Linked DNA regions of Neurospora crassa OR74A. The protein of the gene in region 1 interacts with the protein of each later gene in a pairwise test. Links are inferred from orthologs where the notes say so. Each region holds a gene or a part of one and is shown in the gene's direction. Other genes may lie near its edges.

Region 1 (7,028 bases):
TAGCCAAAAGTACGGCTGCTTCAATAACTCGACTTCCCGGGAGAGATACGCCTACTCAAAGTGATAACGAGCAAGGGCTGACTCAATGCGGACCAGAAAATGACAGAGACCGATTATGTTATGACATTCTTGAATCCGACCCACGCAACAAATTTCCAAACTAGCATGTTAATACGGTCGACACTTGTCTGATGATGTTTTATCTTCTCCTCAAATCTCGTCCCTTCCGCAACCCGACATCAGACACTCGGCACTGGAGATGCCAGTGACGAGCAATCCGCCACCTTGAACAACTCCGTTGACAATTGCGGCACCATATCCGCCCATTGCAGCGCTCTGCGCAATGGCAAAGGGACTGCCAGCGACAACATTGCCGATTACGCCCTGAGCTATGGCTGCAGCAGAGCCTGCTTTGTATCAGCACTTGATCTCCGACCACAACGGCTTAGATTGCGCTTCGTATGTAGGTGACACTGACCAGCAACAGGCCCCGCAGCACCGAATCCCAATACGGCGAGAATGGGTGCGGTAACTATCGCGGGTGCAGCGACAGCGGCTAGCCCAGCAACGACAGGAATCAAAGGAATCTTGAGGGCATGGTCAGCTCTGGCAGAAGCAGGGAAGGGAGTAAAAAGGCAGCAGTGTACCATCTTGAGAAGGGTTTTGTGCAGTGTTGAGTACGTTAAGCTTTTCTTTCGGTTTTTCTGGAATAGAGGCAGGATAAACCGGCGACTTTGGGATGATTCAAGTTGCCGTTGTTCATCTTAGGACCTGGATACTTGAGTCTTGCGCGGGAATTTATAGAGAGTCAGTTCTGTGACACCACTTGGTGTCTTCCTACATAATTGTTGTACATATGATGCAGCTAAAGTCAATCTTCGTTTTCACGAACAAAATCGTTTACATACAGACGGAAACATGAGAGGCCTGCCGAAACGTAGAGAAAGGTTACTGGTGTCGCTGTTCGTAGGCAAACGCTGTACGCATGTTGAGGCCTGGGTATAAGTTGTCGATGTGTCGGCCGCGTGATGGCAACCTGGAAGAATGCTTGGTGTTTCGATTGGTGACGATGTTGGTACCTGCAGCGCAAACGCGAGATTCAACCGTCCTCTGCCGGCTCCTGCTCCCGGGAGTACCTACTTAAAGTAACTGTGGTTGCGAGCCAAAGTAAAACCCTTTGTCAAGTACCGAGCATGACCCACCACAAGCAAAGCTTCGTGGCTTTGTATAGGGCACTGTGTGATCAGCGATCGCGAGCAACCTGGCCCACGGGTTTTGGTTACCCTGCTCACCGTATCGGGTGTGTGCATAGTGCAGTAGTAATGAGTCTCGGGTGTGTAGCCGCTCACGGGAAGTCAGCCAGGGGCAAGCGACGCTGGCACGGCCGGGAATGTGGTTGACAGAGGTCTCGAATGTCGTTGATGGCTTCGAGTCAATGTCGCGTCCCAAACAGCTGGGCAGGATGAAGAATACAAACACCCAAATCCGGACTCTGTGGTTCACTCTGTTGATGAAGAAAGGCGTGCTCGGTGTCTCACGTGATGCAGGCATTGTTGATGCTTCTCGCTTGTGAAAATGCCAAGAACATCATCGACATCTGATTTAGGGTTTTCCGGGGTTGTGTTGGCAAGGCATGCGGAGTCGATGACACCCGGAGAGGCATTCCGGAGCTCAGTCCTAGGGACATTCGCCTCGACTCCCGCCTTGGTAACCCCACCTGACCATCACCAAGGATCTCTTTCCTGGTTGAGCGCAAACAAAGAACAGCTTGGACTTGGTCCGGAAGTTGTGTAATGATGATTGCCCCTGAAGTGAGGAACGAATAGTGGTGGGCCATTGATTCTCGGATGGGGACCAAAGAACAATTATAAGTCTTGTTCGGACGCCCTTCATCTTTTGGACTCGCCATCCAACCCTCATTAACCATCCGGTTCATATCTCAGGATCCCACGTCCCAGACACATCCTTAACAACCCATCCGATAACGCGGCACTGTCGACCAGGTTCTTCCAACTTATACAAACCATGAATCTGGAGAGCTACTCACGACTCATTTCCTCCGACCAAGACGAAGACGTCAAGGCAGAGAATAGGGCTTGCACAACGCTATTGTCGCTCTTGATGCTTGTTGGGATCCTTACGTTGGGCGCAACGATGTGGCATGGGAACAGTTAAAGAACTGAAACCTGCGTAACATCTTCGGTAGGTAGTCAATCCGCGAACACTGTCAATTCATGCGATATCAGTCGTCCTAACGAGTGGAAGGTCCAGATTCGATGACCAGCGACAGCGACAGCGGACAGGACTGGATGGCCGATCGGTGGGTGGGTGACGTCGAATGGGAGTTCTCTGGTCATAAGTTGAAGGACGGCCGATGAGGCATGCGATGACAGGATTATACGTTGGATTCCGAATGACGGACAAGTTGATACCCGAATTTGTTGGATTGGATGGTCGAGGACAATCATCGACGGGATTGCTGGAGGACGATGGCGTTTTTGGAGTTTTTCGAGGTTGAACAGCCCTGCGCTGACAGCGTCAGTGGACTTTGGCTTTTGACGGAGTTTTTAGCGGGCTCCATTTGCTGCATGCCAGGGCACCAATGCGGGGAAGTGGATTGATCCATAGCACAGGACTTGGCGTTTTAGGTGGGGCACCTTGACATTAGCATGTGCAGACCGCCTTTGGCAGAATCAACAACGCTCCACTAAAATTTTCTCGGACTTTGCGTGCTGTGCACATGTCGGGTCGAATCTGCGAGTTTCCTTGCTGCCGTCGAATCCTCGATTTTGGATCGCATCAGTCACCATCTCCACATCCACCATGCCCAAAGATAACAAGCCTAAAAAGCGCGATGGCGCTCCTGCGATTACCGATGCTCGCTTTGCCAACTTCGAGACCGACCCGCGATTCCAGCTGCCCTCAAAAAAGAACCTAAAGACCAAGCTCGACAAGCGTTTCTCCAAGGTTCTCAAAGATGCAGAGTTCACCGCCGTCGCAAAGGTCGACAGGTACGGCCGCAAGCTAAAGACCGACACCAAGAAGAAGGCTTTGGAACGGCTGTACGAGGATGAGAGCGAGGACGCCACAGACAACGAGGCCAAAGAGAAGGCCAGCAAGGGAAAGAAGGACGAAGCGGAAGACGAGAGCGACTTCGAGGTCGAGGACGACGACATTGTTCAGCGCGAACTCGAGGCTGCCAACTCATACGACCCTGCCCGTGGCGGCGGTTTTTCTTCATCCGATGACGACTCCGACTCCGACTCCTCAGATTCCGAAGACGAAAAGCCAGAGGTGGAAGACGAGGCTGATGCGGAAACACGACCCGGTATCCGCTTGCGCAAGGATAAGGAGGCTGTTGAGGAAGGCGAGATCACAAACAGAGTTGCCATCGTCAACATTGACTGGGACCATATCAAGTCGATCGATCTATTCGCCCTCTTCTCGAGCTTCGTGCCCCCAGGTGGTCGCATCGAGAAGGTATCTGTCTACCCTAGCGAGTTCGGCAAGCAGAGGATGCAAAGAGAAGAGCTGGAGGGTCCTCCCCAGGAGATCTTCAAGAAGAAGAGTGACTCCGATTCCGACAGTGACTCGGAGGACTCTGATTCGGACGAGGCCATCAAGAAGGAGCTTCTTGAGGAAGGAGACGACCAGGACTTTGACAGTGACGCCCTTCGCACTTATCAGCTCGACAGGTTACGTTACTACTACGCCGTTATGGTTTGCTCCGACAAGAACACAGCATACAAGATCTACGAGGCGACGGATGGCAACGAGTATCTTTCTTCTTCCAACTTCCTCGACTTGCGATTTGTCCCCGACGATGTCACGTTCGACGACGAACCCAGAGACGAGTGCGACAGCGTCCCTGCGGGGTACAAGCCGGTGGAGTTCGTGACCGATGCTCTCCAGCATTCCAAGGTCAAACTCACCTGGGATACGAACCCCGAAGATTACTCAAGAAAAGAAGCTCTCAAGAAGGCCTTCACCGGTAGCCGCAACGATATCGCCGAGAACGACTTGCGCGCTTACCTTGCGAGCGACAGCTCAGACGACGAGGAGGACGAGGAGGAGAAGGAGCAGTTCGAGGCCGAGGGGGCCGCTGCCGAGGAAGCAGAAGAGGAAAAGACACTGTCCAAGAAGGAGCTTGCCAGGCGCAAGATGCGCGCTGCTCTTGGTCTTGCTGACGAGCCCGTGGTAAAGTCCAAGAAGGATACTCCGGTGGGCGAGATGCAAATCACCTTCACGCCAGCACTATCCGCCAACGACAAGAAGAAGGGTGACGAAGATAGGGAGGAGACGACCATCGAGAAGTACAAGCGCAAGGAGCGCGAGAGAAAGGAGAGGAAGCGGCAGGAGATGCTTGCTAGGAGGGAAGGTCGCGATCCCAACGCCGCTCCTCAGCAGGAGGAAGAGCAAGGCGACCAAGGCGAAGATCTCGGTTTCGACGATCCATTCTTCACTGCTGAGCCTGTGGTGCCTTCCAAGACGGCGATTCGCAAAGAGGAGAGGCTCAAGAAGAAGGCTGAGAGGGAAGCTGAGGAGGCTGCCAACGCCGCCGAGAAGGCACAGCTGGAGCTGCTTATGGCTGATGAAAACGGTGACAGTGGCCGTCTCGATCACTTCGACATGAAGCAGATCGCCAAGGTCGAGAAGGTCAAGGGCAAGAAGAAGGGCAAGAAGGGCAAGAAGGGCGTGGAGGGCAACGATGGTCTCCAGGAAGAGTTCGCCATGGACGTCGAGGATCCTCGTTTCAAGGCCGTTTTCGAGAGCCACGAGTTCGCTATTGATCCCTCTAATCCTAAGTTCACGGCTACTCAGGGTATGAAGAAGCTTCTTGAGGAGGGCAGAAAGAAGCGCAAGGATGGACCCAGTGTTACGGAGAAGAGTGAGAAGAGCGCCAAGAAGGTCAAGACTGACGACGCGGATATCGATGGTCTGATCAACTCTGTCAAGAGGAAGGCGAAGGCGAAGGCGAAGAAATGATTGCATCACGGGTAACAGCATATTAATGGCAAGTTTTTGATTTCTGTTGGTTCACATCCATCTGTCGTTCCTCCACTGTCCAGTCTTGTAAATGGTCCTTGGGTCAATGTGGTTTAAATTCAGGTCATGTAGGGTTGCTCCCTTTGTCTTTAATGATCGTCCCCTTTTGTGGATGAGGACAGAACCACGTACAGCTACCTCGCAACTCTTTTCCACTTCACAATGGCGGCCATAATATGTGGTACTCGAGGTCCATCAGTTCCTCATGGCCATGTAAGTTGGAGCTTTTGTTGTCGAGATGTTTGCCTTTACCTTTCTTAATCTCTCTCCCCGAGGAAATAACTCTGTGTGTCTGGCAAAACCCCTGGAAAGACACTGGGCCTCCGACATTCTTCCCTCGACAATTGTGTTCGTCTTATCCATAGCTACCTCTTTTCATCGTCCTTCGAGGTTTGCAAGCGATTCTCAACCTCCGGCCAGTCGTCAAGGTTCCTCCGTCAGATCCACAACCGGAACCTCTTCCCCTCCCATCTCCACCGGCAGCCACTCCTCCACATCATCCCTCGTTCTCTTCTTGCCTGTAGACTCCTTTTGCTGGGCCACAGTAGCCACACTCTTTTCTTCGACTTGCTCGGTCTTGACGACTTTCGTTGGCTTGGAAGAAGCCACTTTGCGTTCGCTCTGTCCCTCACTGCCATCATCCTGTGTCTCTTCGATCTTTTGGTCCACTGCGGCACCATCGTTGCAGTCAGCGTCAGGCATATCGATATCCTCCGTCGTAATTGTCGTTGTTTTGTTCTTTGGTGTCTGTTTCTTCTTCTCGCTGGTGATGATACCGCTTTCGTCTCGCTGCCTGCTGTGTCTAGCCTCCACCACGGACTCCTCTCCTTTGCCATTCGATACCATGTCGCCAACAACAAGATGACCCAACTTTTCCAAATCCTCAACAACAATATCCGGCTGCTGCTCGCCCGCCGTCTTGTCTTCACACCTGGTAACCCAGCAAGCCGTTGCTCCAATAGCCCTTGCCAGGCCAAGGTATTGCTTTGAGCAGCAGGCAAAGAGAACCTCGTCTTTTCGCATTTCCGGGGAATCGGCCGCCACTGTACCTACTTTCACGTCCGTTCCCTTGCTGGCATTACCTTCACCGCCGTCCGAATTTGCCTCCTTGGCGATGGCGATCTGAGGCGTGATAAATCCAGGCAAAATGTCACCTTTCCAAACCCTCGCAACCGCCTCCCCCTCAATACCAGAAGCATAAATCCCACCCACCACCACCACAGCCGCTGTCGCTCCACCTACTGCTGCCGCCTGTCTTCCTTGACCCTGATATCCCCTAGCCCCTTTACCAGCAGCCGTGACACCCATGCGTCTCATCAGTTCTTGGATAATCTTTACGCCCGGTGCCGGCGTTGCAGGCTGCTGCTGCTGCTGCTGCTTCTGCTGCTTCTTCTTTTTGCTCTTCTTCCCATCTTTGTCTCCGTCTGTGCTTGAGGTCTGCTCAGGTGAAGAAGAAGAAGAAGATTCAAAGCCATCCTGCGCGATGAGAATAACCACGTTAACGTCCTGCTGCTTCATCTGCTTGGCGAAGGGCTCTAGGTCCGGGTAAATGTCAAATTCGGAGAGGAATTCGTGGGTGTAGTGGAGGTAGGCCTGTGTCCAGAGGGCGATTGCGTGTTGGTAGTCGTATTGTTGTTCCTCTTGTGTGGGTGTGCTTGGGTCCATGACTTTGGCTTTGCCTTTACCTTTATCTTTGGAGCTTGATTTGGTGGTGTCTGAGTTGGCTGCTTCTGCTGCAGCAGCAGAAGAGGAGTCCGGCTTGCTGGGAGTCTTGAAAGCACCAAGCTGATCAAGGGCTTCCCCGAGCGTAGCATTATGAGCAAAAGCGTTGAGAATTGCGGTCTCACTTGGTTGTGGGGCGTTTGGACCGAGAATGGCTGCGAAACAGTTCTGGATTGTGCGAATGATGATGCGGCGGCCATCGATAACAGTGTCGTGGTGGAGAATGATGATCTTTGGCTTGGAGATTGTGGTACCCTGGG
Region 2 (7,024 bases), about 150 kb from region 1:
ACTGAGTTTGATTCGCCGTTCGACATGGGGCGTGTGGAAGCTGTTCACATTCCTTGTACCAGTGCTCCTCATCGGTCTGATAGTCTTAACCGCGTCTTCTTATGGTTCGCCGGATGCGAATACCAGCATCCGATGGTATGGCTGGAAGCACTGGAGGAGCAACGTCGGGCAGTTCATCCCCAGTCATCCGCAGCTAACGGATGATCAGTTTAATGACTTGAAGGACTTTATCCTTGAACAATCTTCTTCTACGGAGAGTGCTGTCAAAAACATCCAAACTCTTCTTCCCCGGATGGTGCACGTTAAACGTGGTCCAAACGGCGATCTCATCATTCAGGACGATTTTTGGCATGCTCTTCTGGATAAGATGCTCAAGGACAGCTCGGTTCTCACGCTTGACGGCACTGGTGACATTTCCGAAGAGCATTGGGACGCACTACGGCCGCGCCTCATCAAAGCCGGACTTTTCGAGAAGGGCCCATCGGATGAGCATATCTTGCAGATTGCTGAAGGCACTGTTTCCAAATCTTGGGAACGTTGGGTAACCAAGAACGGGGAAAAGGTTGCCCAGGTTGTCAAGGAGCATCTACCAGGCGACAAAGGCGATGGGGTCACGCGTGACGCAGCCATCAGCCGAGATGAGTTTGTGGGCCTCTTGAAGAAAAGGATTGCAGAACACAAGGAGGAGATTGATGGTCAATTGGATTCCGTCAAGAAAGGGCTTGAGACACTCATCGACACTACGGTCAAGGCGGCCATCTCCAACTCCGAAGGCAGTCTTTCCAAGTCCGAAATCACCACCTTGGTTAGGAATATTGTCAAGAAGGAGATTCCTCGGGCGCAACTTGAAGCAGCCGCTAAGGACGGCATCATGCGCAACTACCACGACTACGTTGAAACTCAAGTCAATCATTTCGGCCTGGGCAATGAAGCTGGTATCGTCTTGTCGGAATCATCCCCCGTATACCGACTTGAGTCGCAAGCACTGCCAGGCAACAAGCACCTCAGCAAACTGCTCGGCAAGCCGAAGCCCATTTCGAGCAAGGATAAGGTCACCCTGGAAGCAGAATACATGCTGGCGCTCTCTGCCTGGAACGACGTTGGCCAGTGCTGGTGCGCTGGCATCTCAGCCAGCAGGGGGGCCGAGCTCGCCGTGGAGATGGCCAAACATGTCATTCCCCAAGCCATCGTCGTTGAGCACGTCCATCCGAACGCGACGAATGACCCTGGGTCCATGCCCAAAGACATTGAGATTTGGGGATACTATCCGGACGCGGACGACAACAAGCGACTCCTGGCTTGGATGGACGAGTTGTACCCTGGCGAGCGCGAAGCTGACATGAAGATGGTCGACGCAAACAACAAAAAATCGCTGTCCCTCATCAACAGAAAATACGTCAAGATCGGCGAGCTGGAGTACGACTATGCCAAGACCAGCGGTAGCCACGGCATGTTTGTCCACAAGCTGTCGGAGGAGTTGCTCGATCTGGATGCGGCGACGTACAAGGTGGTCGTCAGAGCCAAGACGAACCATGGAGCCCTGGATCATACATGCATTTACCGCCTGAAACTGTTTGGGGAGGAATTAGAGTACGAGGGCGAGGAATAACAGGATTGATAATGGGTATCTGGGCGACGGATCTTGAGCTACCGAATACGTATTGAAGGGAAAAGCAAGGAAATTGGGAATGGGGCAAGGCGTTTTGGTCCTTTTTTTTTTTTTTATCGCTTTCAACTTTGGGAAACGTACATATGGGTGGGTCTAGTGGGTTGGTTTTATTGCGGGTGTCTACCTACGAAGGAATCATGTGAGCGAGCGATACCCGTCTTCAAGCTCATTTTTTTCGTGGTTCAATACATTATGCTTTCATGATAGTTTGGCTCTTTTCATTGCTCAGGCACGGTGTTGATGTTCGAATGTTGCTGTTCTAAGTGAAACATGTAGATTGCTGAAGTTGTGGGCGCTGAGATAAAACCACTACAATTCGAATTTGGTTCGATGCAAAAGCTACTGTGAATTTTCTACTTCAGCCCCGTACAACTGCCCATCCAACCCATCATGAACCATAGCAACGACTTGAGAATGTCACTGGGGGCTGACAACTCGATGGTCGTCTGTCTGCTCGTATGACCCTAACCCTGGTCTGAGCTGGCCGCGAGTCCGAGACCCCTGCTGCAGATCCCCTCGCTTACAGTGGATGAGGTGGGTCGAGCTGGCAGAATTGCTCTCCGCCAAAAGTTTTCCCATTCGCATCGAACTGAAAGGCCACCAGCGACGACCCGCAGGCAATTGGATTCGCTCGACTAGCAGACCCGACCTTTGGAACTTCGTCGAACCCACCACGCCCAATTTCCAGCACGTTCAGACGATACAAACACAATGGCTCCAGGAGGCCCCAAAGGCCGCGGTGGCAAGGGCAAAGCCGAGAAGGAGAGGTCCAAAGCCAACAAGGCCGAACACAAGACGTTGAAGAGGAAAAGAGAGTTGGAGAACCTCGAGGCGCTTCAGAAGAGAATCGACGAACTTGTAAGTCCTAGTACTGAACCCCCGTTTCTCACCATACAACCGCACACGCTTCTAAATATTGTGTCTCAATCTACTAGGACCCCAAATCCACCGAACTCAACAAGTTCTCGGACCTTCCCCTTTGCGAACCTACCGCCTCTGGACTACGCGCATCCCATTTCGAGGTCCTAACCGATGTCCAACGCGCCGCCATCCCTCTCGCGCTCAAAGGGCAAGATATCCTCGGCGCTGCTAGGACAGGTAGCGGCAAGACCCTCGCCTTCCTTGTTCCCGTCCTCGAGAAGCTATACCGTGCACGATGGACTGAGTACGACGGTCTCGGTGCCCTCATTATCAGCCCGACCCGTGAATTGGCCGTCCAAATATTTGAAGTTCTCAGGAAGATTGGTCGCAACCACAGCTTTTCGGCAGGCTTGGTCATTGGTGGAAAGAGCTTGAAGGAGGAGGCGGAGCGTCTTGGGCGCATGAATATCCTCGTCTGCACACCTGGCCGTATGCTGCAGCATCTCGACCAAACGGCCGGCTTCGATGTCGACAACCTCCAGATGCTCGTGCTTGATGAGGCCGACCGCATCATGGACATGGGTTTCCAACAGGCCGTTGACGCTCTTGTTGAGCATCTTCCCAAGAGCAGGCAGACCCTGCTGTTTAGCGCCACACAAAGCAAGCGTGTCTCGGACCTTGCCCGGTTGAGCTTGAAGGACCCCGAATACGTCTCTGTTCACGAAGCCGCAGCATCGGCGACCCCCGTCGGCCTCCAACAGCATTACATCGTCACACCTCTCCCTGAGAAGCTCGACACGCTATGGGGCTTCCTACGAACGAACCTCAAGAGCAAGATTATTGTGTTTATGTCCTCCGGCAAGCAGGTCAGATTCGTCTACGAAAGTTTTAAGCGGATGCAGCCCGGTATTCCACTACTACATTTGCATGGTCGCCAAAAACAAATAGCACGTCTCGAGATCACGAACCGGTTCACGTCCGCGAAATACTCCTGCCTCTTCGCCACCGATGTCGTGGCCAGAGGTGTCGATTTCCCCGCCGTTGACTGGGTCATCCAGGTCGATTGCCCTGAAGATGCCGACACCTACATCCATCGCGTCGGCAGAACGGCGCGTTACGAGAGCAAGGGCCGCGCCGTCTTGTTCCTCGACCCCAGCGAAGAAGAGGGTTTCCTTAAGCGTCTCGAGCACAAGAAGGTGACCGTCCAGAAAGTGAACGTCAAAGAAAACAAGAAGAAGAGCATCAAGAACGAACTACAGTCACAGTGTTTCCAGTCACCCGATCTCAAATACCTCGGACAGAAGGCTTTCGTCTCGTACGTCCGTTCGATTTACCTGCAAAAGGATAAGGAGGTGTTCAAGTTCGACAAACTCGACCTCGACGGTTTTGCTTCCAGCCTGGGTCTCCCAGGTACTCCACAGATCAGATACCAGAAGGGCGAGGACGTCAAGAAGCTCAAGAATGCCTCGCGCGCCGCCATGTCCAGCGGGTCCGACACCGAAGGCTCGGACGGCGAGATCCGCAAGAAGAAGAAGGAGGTCAGGACAAAGTACGACAAGATGGCCGAGCGTCAAAACCAGGACGTCTTGTCGACGCATTACCGCAAGCTTCTCGGAGAAGATCAGGCAGAAGACAACGAGGAAGACGACTTCCTCTCGGTCAAGCGCGTGCTGGACGACGATGCCGCCCTCGACGACGCCGCCGGCAATGCCAAGTCCGGCACCAACCCCGACGGCACGGCCAAGGTGGTCAAGCTGGGCAAGAACGCCGAGTTGGTCATCGACTCGCACCGTCGCGAGAAGCTGCTCAAGTCCAAGAAGAAGCTGCTCAAGTACATGGAGAAGGGCCAGAAGCTTGTGTTTGACGACGAAGGAAACGCCCACCCGCTCTACCAGCTGCAAGACGAGGAGGACTTCCAGAAGGAGGGCGACGCCAAGGAGCTCAGGCAGAAGTTCGTCGAGAGCGAAGCCACCAAGGTCAAGGAGCAGGATGTCGAAGACAAGCTGCTGGCCAAGCAGCGGAGGAAGGAGAAGAGGGAGCGCGCCAAGGCAAGGGAGAGGGGAGAGGAGGTCGAGAGGGAGAAGGGTCCCCTGCAGCCGGCGCTGCTGGACGCGCACAGCGATGTGGAGGAGGATCCTTTGGCTTTGCTCAGAAGTTTGCCTGTTGCTGGCAAGGGCGGTGACAGCGGTGACGAGAGCGAGGACGATAGGGAACCGCCTAAGAAGAAGGCTAAGAAGTGGTTCCAGAAGGATGACTCGGATACGGAGTATAGCGATGACGGCAGGCCGAGGAGGAAGAAGGCTAAGATGGAGGGCGGCAGGAAGGTCATTGAGATGGATCATGAGCCGGATAACTTGCAGGATTTGGAGGCTTTGGCCGCTGGCTTGTTGGAGGATTGATGAGTTGGTTTTCAATGTTGGTGTTGGTGTGGGAAAAGGAGAGATATCGGGGTTCGTCATCCAATCATGGATGTTTACATACGTATTTTGCGATAGTTTTAGACTTGTTATGATACCTAAACCACGTATTTTGACAAAAGGGTCGGTCCCATGCCACTATGCTCCCTTCGTGTAGAATACATTTCCAGCTCCAGTCTCTATCCATCCTTTCCCAGCAGCTTGCGGCGAGATTTCGGGGTACTGTAAGGCTGGACGAAGCATTTCGTAAGTTTCTGAAGCATGTCTCTCGCTCCTTCCAGCACAGGACAGCACCCCGGACACTCGGATGGATGGCTGCTTCCGTTTTCGCCTTCGTCAATCATTTGTGGATGAAGGAGCAGGCCAGAACCTGGAAGAGAAGTCAAGGTGTCAAATTTGATACTTCGATCATCCCCATCTGAGGCGGGATTGATCTGTTTCTGTCGTTCGTTACCTCTCATTTATTGAAAGTTTGAAAATGCTCTACCTTCTCTTTGTGTCCTCTTTTCCTCTGAAATCATTTTTTTCGTAGGCGAAACTGTGAGGTAACCCAGCTATCTCTCCGCACTCGTGGGAACATGCCTTTTCTTCCAAGTGATTCGCAACAACAGCGGGCTGGTTAATGTCAACCCTGGGTGTCAGCTACACTGGCCGTTCCGTCGCACCACCTATCCTTCAAGGGGGAAAAAAATAATCGATAAACATGATGGTGTTGTATGACATTTACAAGTAGCAATGTCGGCACAGCATATGTAAGGCTCAAGCCTCAGATCAAGCAGTTCGGAGTAAGTTAAGTATCAACACTCTTGCTAGGGAACCCATATGATGATATTTCGTCCCTTGAATTATTTGCACACTCTCTGCAAGAGACTGGTTGTTGTCTAGGTAGGTATCTGATCAAAGCCATCTCGTTCAAGGCATCTGCCTGAGGTCCGTAGCGGGGAATAGGAGAAATGGAGAGTTAAGGTGCTTCCCCTCGACTGACGGGAGGCTTGTGTCAAACGAACGACGGGACGAGATGCAAGCATCCATGATATAGCCCCTTCACGATAAGATGCCGCGTTTGTTGCGATCAGTCTTTTACACACCCACACACCCCTTGGTAAGGCTGTCTGATGTTTTCCTGGACAGCAATTATCGCCGTCAACAGATGTTCGAGATGACTGGTACAGCTTCATCTTACTTGTAAATGCTCCTCTGTCTGTCTTCCGCACACCAGCACGCTTTTTAGCACATTTCCAATTCCGCAAAGACTCGGGCCATTGATTTTCAACTTCTCTGGAAATCAGGCATCATCGGAGATACTTATCCATACCTTATCACATCAGTTGGACCAAGCCGAGTCAAGTTTTCTACTGCCTTCAAGTACTTGATACGTTCTCATCAAGGCACAAAGTTAACGTTGAAACTCCGTACCTTGGCGTCTATTGACCGGCACTCCCTCCTAGAAAAGTAGGCTGGCTTGAATTCCGGTTGTCATCTTTTATTACCACTTTACAATCATGTGCCTTTTCCGTAGTCATATTTGCGCGTCCATCAAGATCAGCTGCAGATTCTAACATTCAGCAGGTTTTCCACGCAGGGTTGAGCGAGTCCTCCGGCTGTCTGCTTGTTTGTACTGCTCGTTGGCACTTGCATACTGCGTGCTATGCCAAATCCCATTGGATGAGGTACCTAGAGGTACTTGATGATAGCGTCACCATCCAAGTCCTCTGCTTCCCTGCCCACTCGTACTTATAAGATGTTTCTGCAAAACGACGTGTGCCCTCTTCGGCCCCTCACCTCAGCTTTGTCATCCAGAAGCCTGCTTGCGGAGATACAATTACATTTACCAAGGCGCCAGCTGGCCTAAACTTCTTTTCCCTCATTGAGATTGACCATGACTACTCTTACCGTCGAGACACGATCGCAAACTGAAAAGCTAGCCTCCAGCAAGACTGAGGCCGTCCAAATCGAGACCGTACAGATAGAGTGTGTCGTCTGCACAGAGACGAAAGACTTTCTTCATTTTCCATTGTCGAAACTCTCTACTGATTGTCAACACGCGATGCGTGTCTGCGTCGAATGTGTTCGTTTG
Region 3 (6,232 bases), about 960 kb from region 1:
GAGTGAAAGTAACGTGTCTTATCGGCAGGAAGAGATGCAAAAATGATGGGCGTCTGGCGTTACCGAGGTCGACGTTGTACCTGATGATGATGGACAACAAAGGACTGTGTGAAAAATGAGGAGATAACAGGAGATCCAAAGACAAGAGAGTCAAGCTAATGCCCGAAGTGAATGGCGAAATAATGACGCACAACAGTGCAGAACGAACGTACACGATACCGTGGAAAGAGCGGAAGAGGAGAGGATGAACAAAAACAAGAGTGAATGATCAGAAAGACAAAGGAGTGGCAAGCCCGTCCAAGTGGCCCATTGACTTCTCTGCTGGCCTTCGCTGGTGACAACCCAGTGCGGCTCGGCAGTTTAGCCCTTCTGAAGTATGAATCCGGGCTCAAAGAGAGGATTGCCTGAAGAGGACCACACTTCCCGGGAACCCAAGAGAGAGGTCAAAGAAGATATACTACCGCCGCATCGGATCGTCGAACCCAACTCGGTTAGGCTTCAGGAACGTGTTCCCTTGGCCAGGGCAGACAAGAATTGACATTGATACCCTCAAAGGGCCGCGGGTGAAGTGAAGGATCGTGAATAGACGAATAGACGAGAAGAAGATGGAAGGAAAGAGGAATGAGGAAAAGCATGAGCCCGGCGACGCCCCTCGCTTAGGTTTTGGATGAGAGCCTTGGAATGCGGAACAATTGACGTGGGATCTCTTTGAGACATCCCTGAAGCAGAAAAGGCTGGTGTCTTGGATTCGTTCAATAACAGGTAACAGGGAAAGACTATCTATTGCTGATGATATGCAGCGCGCACGCGCCCGAATACCTCCCTTATTGACGATTTGTGCCTCCTTGCGTCGAAAATCGGGCGGCAGGGCGTCCCGAAACTCTATTTGGGATAGTCCTTCAGGTGGTAGCTCTTCAACTTGACGAACTGGTCGAAGCCGTACTTGCTCAACGTTTGACCCTTGCCCGAGTTCTTCCAACCAGTCCAGGCCAGATCCTGAGAGATGCGCGTCAGTGAAACGAGGTGGTTGATTGTTGTCGCAGGACACAAAAGTACTTACAGGGCTGGGAAAATCGCAACGGTTCACGAAAACTGTCCCTGCCTCTACTTCCTCGGCGAGTTCGTATCCCTTGGCCGTGTCCTTGGTCCAAATACTGGCAGTGAGGCCAAATTCGCTGTCGTTCATCAACTGAATTGCCTCGGCATCGCTCTTGACCTTCATGACTGGAATGACGGGACCAAAAGTCTCGTCCTTCATAACGGTCATGGTGTGATCCACGCCGGTCAGCAATGTCGGTGCGACAAAGTTACCTTTGTCTGGCAGAATGCTGAATGTCTCATTCTCGGGTGTCGCATTCTTGGCGCCCTTGTCGAGCGCGTCCTTGATGTGTGCCTGGATGGTCTCCTTGGAGCGCGCCGAGATGACTGGGCCGAGATGCGTCCCTTTATCCAACGGATCTCCAAGCTTGTATCCCTTAAGAACGTTCTGGACGGCCGCAATAAACTCGTCGTGAATCTTCTCGTCAACGTACACTCGCTCAATCGAGCAGCAGCTTTGACCCGAGTTGAAAACTGCGCCGTCGACAATCTCTTCGGCAGCCCAGGCAATATCGACATCACCGCGAACATATGCAGGATCCTTGCCACCCAGCTCGAGGCCGACGTTGACGATGCGATCGGACGCGGCCTTCTGGACGGCCAGGCCACCAGCAACCGAGCCGGTAAAGCAAATGTTGGCAATCTTGGGGTTTCGCACAATTGTTTCAATCACTGTCGGCGAACCCGAGTGGAAGTACTGGATGACTCCGTCGGGCAACCCAGCCTCGGAAAACACCTTGGCCACCTGCTCGACAATTGTGGGTGTCTGAGGCGAGGGCTTGAGAATGACCGAATTTCCAGACAATAAAGCGGGAATCAAGGCGTTGACGAGAATAAGATAGGGGTACTGCGCAAAGTTAGAGGTGACGGATGGAGTGTCAAAACAACATGATGGACACCACTTACGTTCCAAGCAAAGATGATGAGAACAGGACCAACAGGCACCTTTCGGATGAACCTCTTGAATCCCTTCTCCTCCTCGCCATCGGTGTCCTTCAGAGCATCGTTGCTGATCTTGAGCAGATACTCTGAGCGCTTGATGGCAGTGGCAACCTCCTTGGCAGTATAAGCAATGGGGCGGCCCATCTGGACGGTGAGTTCCTCTGCAAGTTCATCCTGCTTCTCGGCCAGCAACTTCAAGGCCTTCTTGACGATGATCTGTCTGTCCTCCAACTTGGTAGTGCGCCATCCTTGGAAGGCCTTGAAGGCAGTCTCGGGCAGTTGGACGAGTTCCTCCTCTGAAATGCCATTGCGAGTGATGATGGGTTCCCCCGTGGTGGGAGAGATGGTGGTGATCACCTCGACCGACATTGTTACAAGTAGGCTTATCGGCCAGGTATCGAGTGATAAGGATGGTGAAGTGGGATGCAGTGTTGGTTGTCACAAGGAGGAAGAGCGAGTCAAAGGGAAAGAAAAGACACAGTTCAGTTACTCTAGTACTTAGTACTATAATTCGTTATACCTTCCACAAGAAGAAAAGAGCAAACCGACTTGATTCCCATGACCCAATGACACCATGTCGCCCCTCCCGTCGCCGTCTCACTAACAAACAGGAACACGACATCACACTGCCGCACACAGAGTGGCTCCCGCTCCGTTTCTCGGCGGCAGGCCGGGGGAGCTTTGATAAGATAAAGAGTTGTTGGCAGCGCGGGGTCGGGTCTGCAGTGTATGAACTCCACCTCGGAAGGAACCTAAGGCGGGGACGGGATCAGCCAACCTGAACTTCCATTCCCATTCATACTTTGTTATCTCTTATCGGCCCTGCGTGCACGGTCCCTTCCTGCCTGTGGCCCCCAGTGGAGCCAGAAATTTTGAGAAACAGCAGCAGCCATGTCCGTCCAGCGCTTCCACGCCAAAAGAAGACTTGCGAATCGCGTCGTGATCCTTCTCCAACGCAAACAAACACCCGACTGCCCTAAATCTCCCCATAACGACCCAATCATTCAACCTACGAAACTTTCAGCATACAACAAAAAGTCCACCAATTAGAAACACAAGTCAATCATCCATCGACAATGCCGGAGGACGATGTCAGAAACAAGTTCCTCGATGCTGGCGATAGCGACGACGATGCGGGCCACGGTTCTGACTCGGAGGATGATTTCCAAAAGGGTGGCCGTAACGCCAAGCGCAGAAGAGTGAGCGATGACGAGGACAGCGAAGCCGACGACTTTACCGACGCAGAGGAGGAACACGACCAAGATGATGCTGAAAGCAAGGATGCACCTGCAAAGGACGGCCAGGAAACAACAGATGGAAAGGAAAAGAAGGATGGAAAGAAGGAGAAGGAGAAGAAGTCGGTACTAGCGAGTGACCTTCCGGGCATGACGAAGCCTCTCACAAAGAAGAATCTCATCGTCACGGAGGAGGCCATCAAGAAGTCGGGAGTGGTGTACATCTCCAGGGTACCACCTTTCATGACTCCTGCCAAGTTGCGCTCCCTGCTGGAGCCGTACGGAAAGTTGAATCGCATTTTCCTGGCCCCCGAGGACCCAGTTGCGCGACGCAAGCGCATTCGCAGCGGAGGCAATAAAAAGAAGATGTTTACAGAAGGCTGGATTGAGTTTGTCAAGAAGAAGGGTAGGTCTTCATTCCGTGAGACTCGCTGAGACCCAAGTACAAAGACGCTAACAAGAAAACCCGTTTGTTTGCAGACGCCAAAAAGGCATGCGAACTCCTCAATGCCCGTCCAATCGGAGGCAAGAAGGGATCCTACTACCGCGACGATATCTGGAACTTGCTCTACCTCAAGGGTTTCAAGTGGCACAACCTGACCGAACAAATCGCTGCTGAGAACGCCGAGCGATCCAGCAGAATGCGCGCCGAAATCTCCAAGACAACCAAAGAAAACAAGGAGTTCGTCCGCAACGTGGAGAGGGCCAAGGTGCTGCAGGGCATTCAGGCAAAGAAGGCGTCCAAGGGCAGCAAAGCGGGCGGTGAGGGTGCCGCCCAAGTCACAGAATCTACTATTCCCTCGGCGGCGGCAACGACGACGACGACAACAAACGACGATAAGAGGAGAACATTCAAGCAAATACCCTTGGCCAAGAAGAGGAAGCTCGATGAGACACAGCCCGAGCAAGTACAAAGAGTGCTCAGCAAGATCTTTTAACCTTCTCGTTTGGCCCCCGAACAATAGGTTTGAGACACGGAGCGTTCATGTACCTGTGGGATTTCTGTCGTCAAAGCGACTCCGAGACATTAGAGATGGGTGGTGTTGATTTTCTTTCCCTTAGGCAATTGTATATATTTTTCTGCCTTCAGTCATCTTGATACCCAACCTGATTTCCTTTTGCTATGAGAGCATCTCCATTTCCGTCACTTTGTCATATCCCTACTTATCGACGCTGCACAGAAACCGGCCGGCGTTTGGTTTAATTGGCCCACCATGAGCACATTCCAAATCCCAGCCACGAGGAAGAGTGCCCCTGACGATACGGTCAACACTCGATACAACTTCACCAATTGTCCTGTCGCAAATGCTGTCAAAAGGGGATCATATTTAACGACTCACCCGACTTACGCCCTTCGCATACTTCAAGGACTCATCCAGCGTATGCTTGACGTAGATGAGGAAGGTTGCGAACATTTCTCAAAACGTCGCCTGGACACCATACTCCAATATACGTCCTGGTCAAACTATATCATCGGGCATATCCGCCAAGACCGCTCTTGTCGTTATTTGAGTGAAGATCAGATGCACAAGTTCTTCCATGCATGTATTCAAACGGTCGAGGATGGCTGTACCCTGTGGGAACATATATACCTTTTGAAACCTAGTTGCTGTGCTGGGCGTGGCTCGTCTCAGGATGAGAGCCTGGAAATGACCACATCTTCACCCAGGTGGTTTTCGAGTAGCACATCCTCAGCATCAAATGAAACCATCAGTTCGGCAACTCAAACACCCCTACTTTGGTCAAGAAACCCCTCTCTCGAGCGAGAAGCGACTCCTCGATCTGTTTCCCCTTCTCCTCCGCCCCCAACAAAATCGGACCTTGTGCTTTTCCAGCCAAGGACAGTTAGCATCTTACCAGTAACCAGTGACTGCTTGTCCAGACTCCGCGAAATTTTCAGCTTCTACTGGCAAAGGTTTATCTACGGACCCCTCGCCTCCCTCTACCGGTGGTTCTGGGACACACAAGCCAATCCTATGGGCTCTACCTTCGGATCACGTCTTGGGCTAAGAGCACCAACCTTTTACCCCTTTGCCCCAAACGACAAACAGTCAAACTCGCAGAAGCTATTAGAATGGCCAATCTCGTCAACACCGCCAGCGACCCCATCTGCACAGAGTGTTGCCAACCCCGACCATAACAGCAAGGAGATAAATGAAGATCCGACGCCAGCAGACCGAATGTTCAAGACAAGGGAGGAGGTCAAAGATATGTGGTGGAAGGTGATGGCCAAAATCCTGTTGGCCGAACACCGTGAGCGGAGGGAGAAAGAAGCGGTGGCTTCAACTTGGGAGAGGGCGAGCGCAGCAAGTGTTACGGAGAGTACCTCTAGGTCGTCTTCCGCTATTTCGTTTGTGAGTAGCGAGGGAAGTGATTACTCGCTGCGTCCTGAGGACTGCTTCTCGACCGTTGGCTCAAGGTGCGGTCACTCACAAGATGGGGATCAAGAGTCAGTTCAACCTGCTACCAGCCATTCCTCAACCCCTGAATTCGAGGAATGGTATGCCGAGTGGTTCTCTCATTGGGTGTTGGAAACTTCTTGCAAGCTGAGGTCCCCAGAATCAGAGGATAGATTCTCTTGTTATTCATTTTCTTCGTCAGCAGCGCCGGTAAATGACAGCAATCATCTTGAGGATAGCAACGCCTCCGATGACGACGACGAGATCACGGACATCCGAACCAGACCCTCCACACCTACACCGCTTTCCTCGCCTACTATTAGCCCCCTCCGCGGTCAAGATCGATACCGCTGTCTTTCTCTGTCCCGGTCATTCTCCACTTCTTCACCCAGTCCAACTCCGAACACCAGCATCCCCTCTTCTCCGATTGCTGGGTCGTTGCACTCTCCACGTCGCTACCGCTCACCTAGTCCAATCCTCCGTCGCGGAATCCCCTCTCCCTTGGATATCACCAACTTCCCTCTTCCTCCTCCTCCTTCGACCATATCCCCAGTGTTC

What was found.
Region 2: the proteins of NCU04485 (region 1) and NCU04439 interact in binary tests that used the Saccharomyces cerevisiae proteins (3 or more experiments, as listed by UniProt). The link is inferred for Neurospora crassa OR74A from reciprocal best matches to the Saccharomyces cerevisiae genes ESF1 and HCA4.
Region 3: the proteins of NCU04485 (region 1) and NCU08668 interact in binary tests that used the Saccharomyces cerevisiae proteins (3 or more experiments, as listed by UniProt). The link is inferred for Neurospora crassa OR74A from reciprocal best matches to the Saccharomyces cerevisiae genes ESF1 and ESF2.

The regions. Positions count from the first base shown.
Region 1 is NC_026504.1:3,202,735-3,209,762, forward strand, and holds NCU04485 (pre-rRNA processing protein Esf1), read left to right. Parts: upstream 1-2,755; 5' UTR 2,756-2,823; coding exon 2,824-4,986; 3' UTR 4,987-5,232; downstream 5,233-7,028. Other genes in the region: NCU04486 (hypothetical protein), read right to left, coding at 211-407, 479-587, 909-920; NCU04484 (hypothetical protein), read right to left, coding at 5,470-7,028. UniProt on the Saccharomyces cerevisiae protein: Involved in the 18S rRNA synthesis. Required for the early cleavages at sites A0, A1 and A2.
Region 2 is NC_026504.1:3,353,743-3,360,766, forward strand, and holds NCU04439 (ATP-dependent RNA helicase dbp-4), read left to right. Parts: upstream 1-2,259; 5' UTR 2,260-2,380; coding exon 2,381-2,527; intron 2,528-2,604; coding exon 2,605-4,929; 3' UTR 4,930-5,064; downstream 5,065-7,024. Other genes in the region: NCU04440 (hypothetical protein), read left to right, coding at 1-1,609. UniProt on the Saccharomyces cerevisiae protein: ATP-dependent RNA helicase required for ribosome biogenesis. Involved in the release of U14 snoRNA in pre-ribosomal complexes. Required for pre-rRNA cleavage at site A2.
Region 3 is NC_026504.1:4,158,371-4,164,602, forward strand, and holds NCU08668 (pre-rRNA-processing protein esf-2), read left to right. Parts: upstream 1-2,942; 5' UTR 2,943-3,116; coding exon 3,117-3,681; intron 3,682-3,755; coding exon 3,756-4,213; 3' UTR 4,214-4,398; downstream 4,399-6,232. Other genes in the region: NCU08669 (betaine aldehyde dehydrogenase 2), read right to left, coding at 883-996, 1,061-1,945, 2,005-2,409; NCU08667 (hypothetical protein), read left to right, coding at 5,456-6,232. UniProt on the Saccharomyces cerevisiae protein: Involved in the small subunit (SSU) processome assembly and function, and in the 18S rRNA synthesis. Required for the early cleavages at sites A0, A1 and A2. Stimulates DBP8 RNA helicase ATPase activity.